3 linked regions of the Drosophila melanogaster genome follow. The protein of the gene in region 1 interacts with the protein of each later gene in a pairwise test. Each region holds a gene or a part of one and is shown in the gene's direction. Other genes may lie near its edges.

Evidence for each region. Proteins that work in one complex are often made in the same cells at the same time.
Region 2: the proteins of CG43386 (region 1) and CG6180 interact in a two-hybrid assay, tested with the Drosophila melanogaster proteins (one large-scale study listed by BioGRID).
Region 3: the proteins of CG43386 (region 1) and EndoB interact in a two-hybrid assay, tested with the Drosophila melanogaster proteins (one large-scale study listed by BioGRID).

What each region holds. Positions count from the first base shown.
Region 1 is NC_004354.4:9,974,259-9,979,404, reverse strand, and holds the start of CG43386 (uncharacterized protein), read left to right. Parts: upstream 1-1,999; 5' UTR 2,000-2,246; intron 2,247-5,146. Other genes in the region: CG15252 (uncharacterized protein), read left to right, coding at 24-233, 288-356, 416-559, 626-685, 811-1,200.
Region 2 is NT_033779.5:12,705,931-12,709,389, forward strand, and holds CG6180 (uncharacterized protein), read left to right. Parts: upstream 1-1,730; 5' UTR 1,731-1,840; coding exon 1,841-2,614; 3' UTR 2,615-2,750; downstream 2,751-3,459. Other genes in the region: spict (spichthyin), read left to right, coding at 1-517; CG15484 (uncharacterized protein), read right to left, coding at 979-1,599; CG5787 (uncharacterized protein), read right to left, coding at 3,323-3,379, 3,445-3,459.
Region 3 is NT_033778.4:19,306,738-19,312,377, reverse strand, and holds EndoB (endophilin B), read left to right. Parts: upstream 1-1,712; 5' UTR 1,713-1,825; coding exon 1,826-1,903; intron 1,904-2,064; coding exon 2,065-2,562; intron 2,563-2,679; coding exon 2,680-2,715; intron 2,716-2,794; coding exon 2,795-2,985; intron 2,986-3,146; coding exon of another isoform or gene 3,147-3,351; intron 3,352-3,564; coding exon 3,565-3,805; intron 3,806-3,862; coding exon 3,863-3,991; 3' UTR 3,992-4,931; downstream 4,932-5,640. Other genes in the region: Acadvl (Acyl-CoA dehydrogenase very long chain), read right to left, coding at 5,271-5,640.

The sequences.
Region 1 (5,146 bases):
CTTTGTCCCACGGCCTTTTGAAGTCGCCAAATGTTACAGCCAAAGGTAAACCGAAAATGAAAGCAAAGCCGGAGAAACAGGTGGAGGCGGAGGGCACAGGCTCCTCGTCGGAATTGGCCACGGATGACAACGATGACCTGGGCGATGGGGATGAGCCCGGTGATGGCGGAGACGGAGCAGGTGGTGGAGGAGGCGGTGGCGGTCTGGTTGGCATCATTAGCAGCCTGAGCGGTGTAAGTGGAAGGCTAAGAAACCCATAAATATTTATTTAAAATGGATTTATTTAGGGTGAAGGTGGTTCCGATGTGGGTGCCTTAATTGGTGCCCTTACCGGTGTGATATCCACTTTATTTGGAGTAAGTATTGAAGTTTTCCAATCAATCAAGGGTATTTAAATAGAAAAACTATCTTTTAGCCTGGAGGCCTAGATGTGCAAGGTCTGATTCAAACGGGAACCTCGCTGATCTCTGGTCTTCTGGGCGGGAATAAGAACTTTGGCCTCGTGTTGGGACAATATGTGGGCACTGCTTTGGATGGTCTCTCTGGAGGTGGTGGAGCGGTGGGTTCCTCAAACCTATTTTCATGAATTTCCAGTCATTTTACTTGCATATATTATTTTTTCCAGATTAACAATGGCCAGTTTATAGGCAACTTCTTGGGCACTGTGCTGGCCGCATTGAGCGCTGTATTTATATATTTTGCTTATATATATATTTACCTTCTAGATCCCAACCTCATAACTGTGTTACTAACCCCTGAACGTCATTTATTTAGCGAGTGCAATAAACAACATTCTACAATCTTTAACAGGATCCCGAGGAGGAGGGCCCACCGCAACCATTGACCTTCACCAAGAACCTGATCACCAGCTTCCTGGAGGCAAAGTTTCGACCAATTTCAGAGGACGGCTCAGAGGAGCGACACGGAAGTGCGGAGTTGCCACGCCCGCGAAAGAAGAAGGAGGGCGGTGGATGGGCAGCTGCGGCGGCAAATAACTTTGATTCTGGAGGATTTGTGAAGCAAGTGGCCTCCCATCTGGTGAGCAATGCCCTTGGATTGATTTTGAATGCCGGTCTGGGAGCCGCTGGAGGAGCTTCGAGTGCAGCCAAGAATATTTTCGCCAGCAGCAGCATGGGTCATCATGCCAAGCCGGCAGATCACCATAGATCTTGGAACCCCTACCATAATGAGCCATTCTAGCCAGCTTAGTCATCACATAATCATAGTTACGTTAATCGTTTGTGTTAAACCCATTTTTTTTTTGCTAGTTCGTAACCGAAATAAATAAAGAAGTGAGGAGAAAGACTTGTTGGTCACTTGGGCAGCTAAGAAAGCGTAAAAGAGGGGCTCTAAATCAAGTGGCGTAACAGCTTGGACAGCGGCTGATGCAAGAGATCCGATGGAATTCAGTGGGAGCCACTGCAATGAACCACTCCCCCAAGGATGCGGTGGGGCAAATCACTGGATGGAAACGCAAAAAGCGAAAGCTCGCAATGAGCGGAAGTAAAAACTAAGTAAAGGTTGAGGGGTGAAATAGCTTGTTTGGGTTCATTTCCTCAAACTAAAGTTCAGTGGAAGGTAGAACAGGGGAATGAACTACGGATTTCGGCTCAGGAGTTTCGCTTCAAAAATTAGTTTTAAATACATTTGGCAATACCTTAATTAACTAATATTTAAATTAAAAAGATAGAATTAATATATATTTTGTAACCCAATAGCCTAATAGCGAATATTTTTGGATCTTCTTGACCCAAGAGTTTTCCCTGAACCTTTCTCCGTGGGCCAACTACTTGGTAGCTTGCCCAATGGAGCGGGCATTGTGTCACTTTCTACTGATTACAGGTTTCATTAAAATGCTTTTACTTGTTTACTTCTGGTGCTTTCTCTGACTCTCTCGCTCTCTCTCTTCCGCCTGCTCTCTCTCTCTCTCTCTCATTCTGTCTTTCTCTTTTTTTTTTTTGAAGTGGGCTGAATATTTTTTTAGCGGCGAGTTTCAGTTTTCAGTTATGCGTGAATCTTTCACAAGACAAAGTGACATTTTGCGGGCCGTTTAGTTGTCGCGTTTTTAATTTGAAAAACTTCAGGTTGTGTTTATTGTTTTGTGTTTTTCTTGTGCGCTCAGTGTTTGTGCTGGTTTATTTGCATTTTGAAATTGTTTATGAACTCAATTATATATTTGGGTGCTTCGGAGAGTTCGCATTGCAATTAAGTTTGGCAAGCCGCATTTTTATTTTATTATATTTCGGGTGAGTATGTATATAAGGCGGCTGAAAGCCGAAAAAAAGGGAAATAAGCGACAATCCCAGCTCAAAATGTATGTCAAAACGAAAGACTTAGGCAACGAACTTGCTAACTGGGCTAAGCCTCAACTGAAAATGCTGGCATAGGTCAGGTCTGTTCCAAAAACAAACAACACTACGGGGGGCTATTAATGGAGGGGGTTATTGAAGAGGGGGGGGGCGCTATTGGTTAGCGTTCGTCCATTAATCGCTTTGGCTACCGAAATTTGGCAACAGCGCCGACGTCAACAATGCAAAAGTGAAGATTCAAATGCGTTAATTGCTTCATAAATCAATTAACAAGAGCCTAACCAATCGTAAGCCGAAAAAAGGGAGAGTTTTATTGTTCTCCTATGACTTACGCTTTGTGTTCAGTGTCATATTTGATTGTTGATTATATTAAGCTATATGGATGGTGTCCAACATTTACTGGTTGACGTGCTACTTAAAATGCTATATAAATTACAAATTTTACATACATTTTAAAAAGGTTTTTTGTTTTTATAGGGAAGTGATTTGAGGGAACTTTCCTTTTTACTCTATTTCATTCGCATTTCATTTGAATTTTCGGGGTTAACTACCTGGTAACCTACTACTCATATTCGGCCTGACCCCTGGTCGCTGTCATGATTGAGGATGAACCAGAGTCAGAGCTAAAAAGACACTCAAAAATTAAAAAAAAAAACAAAAAAAATCACCAACTTGTCTGGGCCATGCAAGAGTGGCCTGGCCCAAAGAAACCGGTAACGGTCTCAAGGTCGTTCGTCGAATCGATGGCTCTGGCCAGATAAGCCTTAGCCCAAGATACAGCAGCCAGTTTAGCCATCAACGCGCTTTGGGCCAAAAGCTAAAAGCTATCAGCCATCAACTCTAAGGCATAAGCAATAACAAAACTCAGTGATGATAGCTGGGCCAAAATAAAAAATAAATAAATAAAATCGAAAACGAGGAAAAAAGCGAAAGTGAACGCCATGAAAGTGGAGCAGTCGAGCTGGAAATCCGCCGAAGGCAAACCGGCGGGGGGGGGGGGGTTGCGTCTCTTCATAAACAAAAAGATATATATGCAGGTGTCATATCTAAGTCGGTCAATAAGTTTATTGACCAGGCGACGCTCCAAATTGTGCGGTTGTTTCGGGAGAGTTATGCAAATCGATTGTGGCAACCCGATATCGAAAAGCGTAGAAACTTATGGCCGTTAAACAATGCACCCTTTTATATTTTTCGGGCCGATTAATATGCAAATCTCGAAATTTCTTATCCACCACTCGATATGTTGTGGCTTTATGTTTCAATTATGAGCGTTAAAGTCCGTATCGCAGATCTTGTATTATACGAATTTTCACACATTTTTTATGATGATATTTTTCCTGGGCAGTAAATTATAAGTTGATGCGGGTCTGGGCGAATGACTGTTTATGTTATTACCGGAGTGTTTTTGCCTATTATAAAATATGTTTAATACTCTTGAGTTTTATTTGCTTGGCAATTTCATAAGCCTTTGGCATTTTCGTTTAGCTTAGAAGTGATTTCCAATTTACGCCTCATTTAACAGCACTAAGTTCTGCACGGCAATTAAGCAAAGTGATCAGATTTGAAATGCCTTTCAAAATATCTAATGCCAAAATGATATTATTACGGGGCGACCTTCGCCGGCCGCCAGTGGCGAGATTTATTAATACTATAATTACAATAATGGCTGAACAAACAAATAAACGCTACATGACAGCAGAATCTGAATCTCCGGCAACCTTTGCGCAAAATCAAACGAATCATTTTTGCCTGGCCAAGAACAAAGTTCGTTTGTCCGATTCTAATACTAATTCTCAGACTGAGTTTTCAGTGAATGGTGGTCAGTTATTTAGTCTGTCGGCAACGCCTTTTCCAATTAAATTCGACCCGGCTATTGGGTACAAAGCAAAAGCACTCGATGCGAAAGATTGGCTTACAAACGGTCTTAATATAAACCGAATTAACTTTATTTTTCCATTAGAGTATTACACATGTGGTGCAAATCTTCGTGGGATTTGCTAAGTTAATTGCAACTTTTTAGAGATTGTCTACACACAACAACTAAAAGTCATTTGAACGTATCTCTTAAAACAAAAATATCAATTCTTTGGCAAGACGTTCTATTGCTTAGTGATTGGTTTTAAAGATATATGGTACCTCTTTTTTTTATATCTTGCCTATACCTGGCACATATTTATTTTGGCATATTTTAGATATTTATTAATAAGTAATCCCAGTCTTAAAAACATTTCCTTGGTCAAATGTCAAATGTACTGGCCGTAAAACACTTGCGCAAAGCCATCAGCAGTTCATTAGAGGCCCATTGCTGCGGCGGAGTTGAATACATTAGATGGAAATGGATGCGGAATCGAGTGCTGGCTTCTCCTCCATCTGGTTAACGAGCCGCACTCTCGGTCCAAATGAATTGGTTAATGGGTAATGGTTATGACCGTCTTCCCAACTTGCGGCGTGTAAACGGTTACTCGTTAAGCAAGGGGGTGCCCAATAGACCTGTTACCCGTTTCACTATATCTATTTTCCATTTTAATTTTATTATTAATTTTTTTTTCTCTGTTTTTCCTGCGTGCACTTAGCGGAGTCATTGTGGCCAGAACAGCGATGAGCAGGTGACATTAATGCCATGGCCCAAAACTGAGCAAAACCACACAAAAAAAAAAGAAAGAAAAAATAGCAGCCAGCGCATAATGCATAATGACAACCGTTGCATAACCCCCCCGCCAGTTGGGCAATGCCAAATTATGCCCCGACATGTTGGCGAAGGGTATTATGCTATATGCTATATGGCGTATGCTATATAGCCATTTCCAGAGAACAAGTTGCCACTGGTTAGTACGGAT
Region 2 (3,459 bases), on another chromosome or scaffold:
AGTTTATATCTTCTTGTGCTCCGGCATCGGATCTCTGACTGTGATGTCCTGCAAGGCATTGGGCCTAGCCATACGGCAGACGCTGAATAACGGAGGCAACGTCTTCCTCACATGGATGCCATGGTTCCTGATCCTGGTCACCGTCACTTTCATAGCCATCCAGATGAACTATCTGAACAAGGCGCTGGATATATTCAATACTAGTATAGTTACTCCAGTGTACTATGTAATGTTCACCACCCTGGTGATAGCTGCGTCTGCCATCCTCTTCAAGGAGTTCACCCACATGCGGTTCGATGATATTCTCGGCGATGTGTGCGGCTTCCTGATCGTTATCACAGCTGTGTTCCTGCTCAACGCGTTCAGAGATATTGATATATCGCTGAACGATGTACGTGGACTGATGCGACCGAAAATGCAGCGGGTGTCGCAGTTCGACGAGGAGGTGCTGGTCACCAGCAATACCAAGGAACGGCGGCTGTCCTACGGATCCAGCGACATCTTCCGGAAGGCCTGACACAAGCAGCGCTACCAGGTCTAGTTACATCCCTTGCAGCGGCTGACCTGAAGACAAGGTTGCTTTACTCCGTAAACGAGGCATTGGTCCAAATATCTGTGCATATCACCTGCAATCACTTTCATCTCATCATTTCCATTTATTGTTCCTTCACTCTTGTTATTCATACATTCGCTAGCATAAGCACATAGGTTTAGGTTACACTTACATATATTAAACACGACTTAATGAAAACGATTTGTAATTGTAGTTTTATTTTTTGATTTTTGATATGATATTCGTATCTATGTATTACTAAAAAAAAACCATTAAAATATTCTACTACATTGGTAAATGTAGGTCGTTCCAAATCGAACGACAATATTCATTGCAAATAATGTGAGTACATGCTCAATCGGATTTAGTAAAATAAATCTTCAAGTTATTTTCAAGGTTTGTTAGTTAGTAATTTAATGAAGTATCTATGTATTCTGAATTTCGCCCTTGCTGGTCTTATCTGGATATTTTAATCCGTTCAGCCAGATGCAGTTGCTCAGACTTTTAGCGGTGTGAAATGAGTCATCGGCTGAGTTATCCGGACTGTTCTCCACTGGCGGAAGATCCTTTGGTCTACGAATCTTTCGTGGCGTGAAGAAGTCGCGATCTGTGATTAAAGGAAATCGCTGGCTTTCATTTGGAGCAACCGCAGGTAAGCTGATCTGCGGCTGGAGTGTCAGTGAGTCCTGTTTCAGGGTCATTCTTCCGAAGTTCCGGATGATGGCAATCGCCTCCACGTCCACCATTGTGGTGTCCTCCCAGTCCTCCATTGTGGCGTGCTCTCCCAGCGGCTTGGTGCCAGCTACTCTCTGAATCGTCTCCATCATTTGCAGACTTTGACGAATCTCTCGGCCCTTTCCACCCCGCGTGCCATATCCAAGCAGATCCTCGCGGGCTGTCAAAAGCTCATAGGTATGAATGGGAACGGATTCTGAGAATTCCTCTTTCTTCCTCAGTTCATAGGCGATCTGTCCATGGACCAGATTAAAGTGCGGCTCCAACTGCACCAGATCGTGCTCGAATCGTGATGTGGGAACCCAAGCCATGATGATTTCAGTTGCTTATAGTATTCTCACAGCCTTATTTTCATTTCCCGGAAATGCTTTTCTCAAGTAGACTGCGCAAATATTTTCGAAGATTAGAAATTCAAAATCACACATTCCTATCGATAGCGATAAAAACGTTTAAACGCTTACAGGTGAATCGCAACTTATCGATTGTCAGTCGGCAAATAGAACAATAAACAGTTTTTTAATTAATCCAATTTGGTTTACTTAAGCAATAAGGATGATTTGTATGCGGCTCCGGGTGTTGCGTAATCTCAATCGCAGCGCTTTAAATGGATTTAGAAAAGATTACATCCGATCAACCGGTGTGAATGTCAATTATTCAGCTGTCAACTTTCCGGCCGCCATTAGAACGCTGAAAACTTTTAGCAATTCTATCCTAACCAAGGAACCGAAACCAATCTTTGCATTTATCGCATCTCAGCGGCAGTATTCTTGCGAAAAAGTAGGCAAAACAATGGAGGAGCACTGCGTAGTTCCGGATGTGATCGCCAAGGCACCGGCGCAGACAGCTGTGGTGGAATATCCCGGCGATATTGTCGTGAAGCCGGGTCAGGTCCTGACCCCCACCCAGGTGAAGGATGAGCCGTGCGTGAAATGGGAGGCGGACGCCAATAAGCTGTACACCCTCTGCATGACCGATCCGGATGCGCCCAGTCGCAAGGATCCCAAGTTTAGGGAGTGGCACCATTGGCTGGTGGGCAACATACCCGGTGGAGATGTCGCCAAGGGCGAGGTTCTCTCCGCCTACGTGGGATCCGGGCCTCCACCAGACACCGGACTCCATCGTTACGTTTTCCTGATCTACGAGCAGCGGTGCAAGCTCACATTCGACGAGAAGCGACTGCCCAATAACAGCGGAGATGGACGCGGTGGCTTCAAAATCGCCGAGTTCGCCAAGAAGTACGCCCTCGGCAATCCCATTGCCGGTAACCTCTACCAGGCTGAGTACGACGACTATGTGCCCATCCTCTACAAGCAGCTGGGCGCTTAGTTTCTACGCCAAAAACCATGCTTATATAAGCCAGTCTGAATTGGATTCAAATCTATTGTAACCTAGAAATTAAAGACACCTATGAACACTCTGTGAAACCCTCTGTTGCTGGCAATAAAATTGTTAAAGACATATTAACTAAGCCACTGTATCTTATTACACATTTTCAATATTTTCATATCTTATCTTGTTAATTTGTCTGAAGTAATAATTCGGTTACCCTTTGCTGAGGCAAAACAGTTTCTGTGCTGGTTATGTATTTATTATTCATTCCAATTACAATCTACTTCTTTATCAATAGGATTCTTCTAGCGTCATTTGTATACATACAGATTTCATGAACTTGAGTTTATATCTCGCCAAAATACATGCTTTGAAGATACAAGACATAATTGCTATCGGACCTTCCAAATAGGAAGAACGTTTCTGATCAGTATTATAGTTATTTCCCAGGGCGCAAGAGACGCCCATCTGGGTAAGTTATTTATTTGTAAAAGCATTGCGACATAATTACAATCTACTTCTTAAAGTCAAGAGGATGGTTCTTCATGTGTGCAATAATAAAGGTCTCTAATACAACTAGATGCAGACTCATACAATCCATAAAATAATGCTGAAGAAGAACCCACGCTCTATTTCCTCCTTTGATGGGTCCAGTGCATATTCGGCTGTTGAGAAGGAGGGGAGGTGTCTAGTTTCCAAATTACTTTACTCTATAGAGGGAAAGACAGTGCGATGGTCTTTCCATTCGGTTTCGCTGATTGCCTATAAAAAGCAAGGTCGGAGTTAGTTAGTATGAAATAGGCTGCATGACTATGTTACCAACTTACCACTAGCTCGTCGAA
Region 3 (5,640 bases), on another chromosome or scaffold:
CTCTTTCGTTTTCCTCTAAGCATGAGTTGGGATAATTTTGAATGCTCGTTGTAATACGGCGACTGGAATAAATTAGTTATATTTTTGATTGAAAGAAATCGTAATACAAAGGAATCCAAATAAAAAGCAATAATTTTTAAAATGAGAAAATAATATTTTACCCTTGTTCGTGGACGAATGAATACCAATTGTACTGATTTTTTGAAGATATGGCGCTTGTCCGCCGAATGAAACTTATTGTTAATTATATACGTGTAGTTATACATTTGTAATGGCATTGAATCTCGTTTTAAAATGGCATAAATATTCACATGAATGTTGATTGAATTAAAAGTTCATAATATAATTGATCGATTGCAAACCAGAAACTATATTAACCACATTGTGCAATTTTGCTTAAATAGACCTAGGGATTATTATGCCGTAATTGTTAAACAAAACCATTTTTTTAAACAAAGAAGCCCATCGTGCACCCACAATCCGCACGCCCTAGGTTTCTCAAGTTAGTCGGGACCATTTCAAAATTAATCAAAGATAGCAGAAATACGAAAGAAACACTAGATTTACACAAGGGCTACTTTTAGGTTCATGTCAGCGTAGTTTTACATTAATGCAATATGTGATTTTACACATGGTCCACTAAATCAAGAGCCTAAGCAAAACCATTTTGTTAACGTGTGCAATGCGACCTGCTGTATCAAATATTGAGGTCGGATCGAGAATTTGTAGATTTTTAACTATTAATGTGAACACTAGTAGTGTAGGGCAAATCACACAACTATTCCATAACAATCTAGATGTCCATTAAATGTATTATAAATGTCCATTAAGTATTATAATCACCAACAATTGCAGCACAATGGAATTTAACGGATTTGGAACATTCAAGGAAACCCCCAAATAATACGTGCATCCTAACATGTGTGTAAGATATCCGATCTATAACAGATAGTTAAAATATATACATATAGCTGTAATTGATTTTTGTCCAGAACTCTGTGTATTATTCTCGCTCAACATGAATGAATATGAATTCGAGCCGAAAACTATATAGGAAAGTGATAAAAGCACACTCGATTTTGCACAGATTGTCATATGATGTATAAGGAAAAGCGAAAGTCAGCCATAAATGTAAGAAGCAGCAGAGTGGTGAAAAGTTATCAATTGAATGCATGTTTTAATTTTTCCGCTCCGATAATATATGTCTAATGAGTGTGTATTAAATGTGAAAAGTTAAATTTAAATGTTTTCCAAATCGTGTTTTATTTTGGGGGTTTAATTACAAGGTGCACGGTCTGCAAGCAGGGTAAGTAAAAATTAGTTTAAATGTTGAAAAATGATTTTCATCCATATCATGATTAATTGACTATGTTATATTGTACAAACGTTCACATTTTTTAAAGCTTGCCATAGTAGCTTTCGTTACTATATAGATACTCACCACACTTGATTTACCGAAACTGTTAGCTTACATAGTATGTAGGTATGTATTTGCTAACAGACAGCTTAATTGTTATCTACTTTGATGTCGTGGCATTTGTTTAATAGAAGTAAATTTCGTTTCACCATTTACATGAAGAATAAAGAAGAAAAAGCTATGATAAATTAAAAATTAATACAATTTTACATTTTACTCAATAGTAGTATTTCCAATTAGAACTCTGTTCCAGTTGGAATTCTTCGGTATATTTGGTATATTCCTGGGAGAAACAATGGGTCACACTACGAAGTAGAGGAAATAAATACAAACAAATTGGGCTGTGTAGCGGAATTTAAATTTAAACTTTATCAACGGCAGTGTTAATTAGCGAACCTCTCGGCAAAAATGAATATAAATCTGCCGAATTTCAATGTGAAGAACCTGGTGAAGGAGGCGGGCAGCACAATATCACGAGTGGTGCAGGTGAACAAATCAATGAATTTGGGTGGCTGAAAAAAAAGCGGGTGGTGGTGAACTTTCGGTGGTTGGGCAAATGACAGATGTACCCCAAACCAATCTCAAGCACTTTCGTTGTTTCTTTGCCCTTTTCAACGGCTCTCCATTGTTTTCAATGACCTTTTCAGCTCACGGAGGAGAAACTGGGCACCACGGAGCGCACCGAGTACGACTTGCACTTCCAGAATCTCGCCGAGCGGGCTGATGTGACCAAGACATGGACGGAGAAGATAGTGCGCGACACAGAGTCGGTGCTGATACCCAATCCTCAGAACCGGGTCGAAGACTTCATCTTCGAGAAGATTGAAAAGTCGAAGCCAAAAAGGTTGAGCAACCTAGAGCACCTGGCTCTGGACATGATCGAGGCTGGGGGCGATTTCGGGCAGGATTTACCCTATGGTCAGGCTCTGATCAAGGTCGGCCAAGCGGAACAGAAACTGGGCCAGTGCGAGCACGACTTTATAGCCACCTCGGGCATTTGCTTTACACAGCCGTTGCGCAAGTTCCTAGACGGCGAAATGAAGACAATTGGCAAGGAGCGAGGCATCCTGGAGACCAAGCGCCTGGATCTGGACGCCTGCAAGAACAGGGTGAAGAAAGCGCGCAGCATGCTGGGTCAGCAATCGGTAAGTGGGTGGGATTTGATGGGGTTTCCTTATTGCAAGGGGGTATGATTGATTGGGTTTCGTAATGGCTTTTTCACTCACGGTCTTTTTCTGCCCTCTGCTGCCCGGAATTTTTAGAAAGATGGCATCTCGCCAGAGGCCGTCTTGGAACAGGTATCAAAACCTTGACCGAGCTCGTGCTCTAGATTTATGGCTAATCAATGAGCCAATTTCTAATTGCGATTTTTTCTAGGCGGAACGGGACTTGCGGGTGGCTCAGGCCGAGTTCGACCGGCAGGCGGAGATTACCAAGCTGCTGCTGGACGGGATCAGCACATCGCAGGCATCTCATTTGCGCCACTTGCACGCCTTCATCCAGACGCAAGTGCGCTACTACAAGCAGTGCGGCGATGTCATGGAGCAGCTGCAGCGTGAACTGGCCAAGTAAGTAGTAGGCGATCGATAGAGAATGACTGTGACTTCCACGTAGGCACCAAACGAATCTTTTCTTGCACACCAAAACACCATGTCCCATCCTTGATGAAACCCGTGGTCCCTTCTGGTGGTCTCACTGTGCGTTATGATATCTGCTTGTGGTCTTACAGAATGCAGCATCCCAAGCCACGCCTGCGTATCAATAGCGAAGACGTTGATTGTGGGCCTCCCAGCTCGGTGTCGATGCATTCTTGTGATTCCGATTCATTAGGGGGGATAGCCCTAGATAGCGATCCAGATCCCGATTTGGACAAGTCGCTTACGAATCTGCTCGAAGACTTTCACATAGAATTCGATACGACAGCCGTCTCCACAGTTTAGGGGTCTTGTTATTGTGATCTTCATATCGAATCGGATTCCATGCCCAGTTAACATTAGCATTTAATTTCAAATCATACGTACTAGATAGGTTGCTGTTATCGGTAGTTGTTGCACTTTGTAAAGTCAGGTTTCAGCAGCTCATCTCTCCATTTAGAGCTCGCTATCAAATCGAATCAAAAACTCATTAAACTCTGCATCTTCCATCAGCTTGGGAGGCCCCACGCCATACATTCCGCTCGACGTGAACGAGGCCAGTGCCAGCAAGTCCAACATATCGTCCGGAGCCGCAGCCCGTGGTCCTGGCAACAATCACTCTGCCAATATGGCTGCCACCGGCCACAAGCCTAATCAGCCCATGCACGTCAGCACGGATCAGATGCAGAGGGCACGCGTCCTTTGCTCCTACGACGCCAAGGATCACACCGAGCTTAATTTGAGCGCCAATGAGGTAAAGTAAAGAACAAATAATATCCTAAGCAATGCTTATATATAACTCATTTTTCAGGTGATCTTCGTGACGGAGTGCTCACCAGTAAACGAGGATTACATGTACGGAAAACAGGGTCTATTGAAGGGTCTGGTGCCACGCGCATTTGTTGAAATGCTCGACGAAGAGCACGATGTCACCCTCTAAGCCCTCCAGCAATTTGTTCAGCAATAATCAATCATTCAATAATCTCAAGCAAAATTAATGAACAAGAAAATACTCCAAGTACGGCAATACTCATATGTTAAGAAAGCAGACACGATCGAGAGAAGGGAACGGCAATTGGACAATTAAAGGATGCGGCCAAAGCGGCATTTGGCACTAGCAAGAGAGTACAATAATTTATTAGAATATACATACATAAATATATACAAGGCATAATATACATACATGAGCGTGTTGGTTAGTAAAAGCATTGTAGATTAGCCTTCGGTAATAATCAAACCCAGATCCATGCCCAAAGAGCTACGCTACTCCGTTGCACAGATCACGCTGTAATCAAATATGCATTCTGGCTGCCTGAAAAACCGTCAAGTTATACATGTAAATTTATGCAATTCCAAACATTATGATTGTTAAATCTAATCGCATATCTAAAGAGAAAGTGCTGTTTTATTAAGCTTCTCTACACTCGAAAAAGTATTATATATGTGTTATGTTTGTCAATATCTTAGTTAACAAGCGAAATTCTCTGTGCTTTACTATATATCCTATAATTATAAACGTAAGTATGAAATTGTTAATCCTATTATCTATATATTCAGCGAAGGCGTTTCCAATTATTATCTAATATATTTGCTGCAATTATTATGTTACCAAATTTTTCGTGCAATTTTTGAAAGTCAATTAAAAGAATATTGCTTGTTACATTTAAGGCAAAACTTTGAAACACCAAGGCGCTTGATAGCTAAAAAATAACAGATAAATATTGTTGAAAACGTACAATACAATAATTAAAAAGTAAACAACGATGATTTTTAGGTTTTCAGCAAACAAACAATGTTGTAATATGAAAAGCGAATTTTTAAACACCAACTATTATACTACATAATTACAAATATATGATCAAAATTAAAACAACAAAACCAAATTAAGTTCGATTTATTTTGTATTTCATTAGATTGCCCGTCCAGCTTTGAAAATCAGATCGAGATGGTAAGTGCTTTAAATTATATTTGTGAGCTTTTCTACGTAAAAGGAATAGAGGTGATTTGATTTCAAGAGTTCTATTATCTGAGTTCATTTATAGATGATCAAGTATTTGTTACTCATTTGTTCAATGATAGTGCATAATCACTTTAGAGAGATTTCGTATGTGAGAGCGAGGTGAACTTTAGACTTCAGCGATTATTATTTACAAGACTTTATTGGCATTCATACTAGGTTAACAATCAAGGGCTTAAAATTCGTATAAAAGTATATTGGTCTAGTTTTGATCCAAGATTCCAGTCGTAGTCACACCGCCATTTTCCAAAGTGGTCTTGGCGATGGTGGAAATCTTCTCATTGAGAGACCTATGATGACTGGATGTGGCAGCCTGTAGATTCTTAATCACTCGATCAGATGCCTGAATAGTGAGTGCCTTGGTCATGTTGAGCTCGTGTTGTGCAGTTGGCAGATTCAGATTGACTGCACGGGATGATCGCGATTGCGTCACAACCATTGCATAAATATCAATGGCTGCATTTGCCAGTCGTGTTAGCAAAATTTGTTCGTTAACTATGTTTTTGTTGTATCGCAGCAATAGTTCTTCCACCGATTGTCCAAAAAGATCAATACAATGGGCCGTTTTTTTG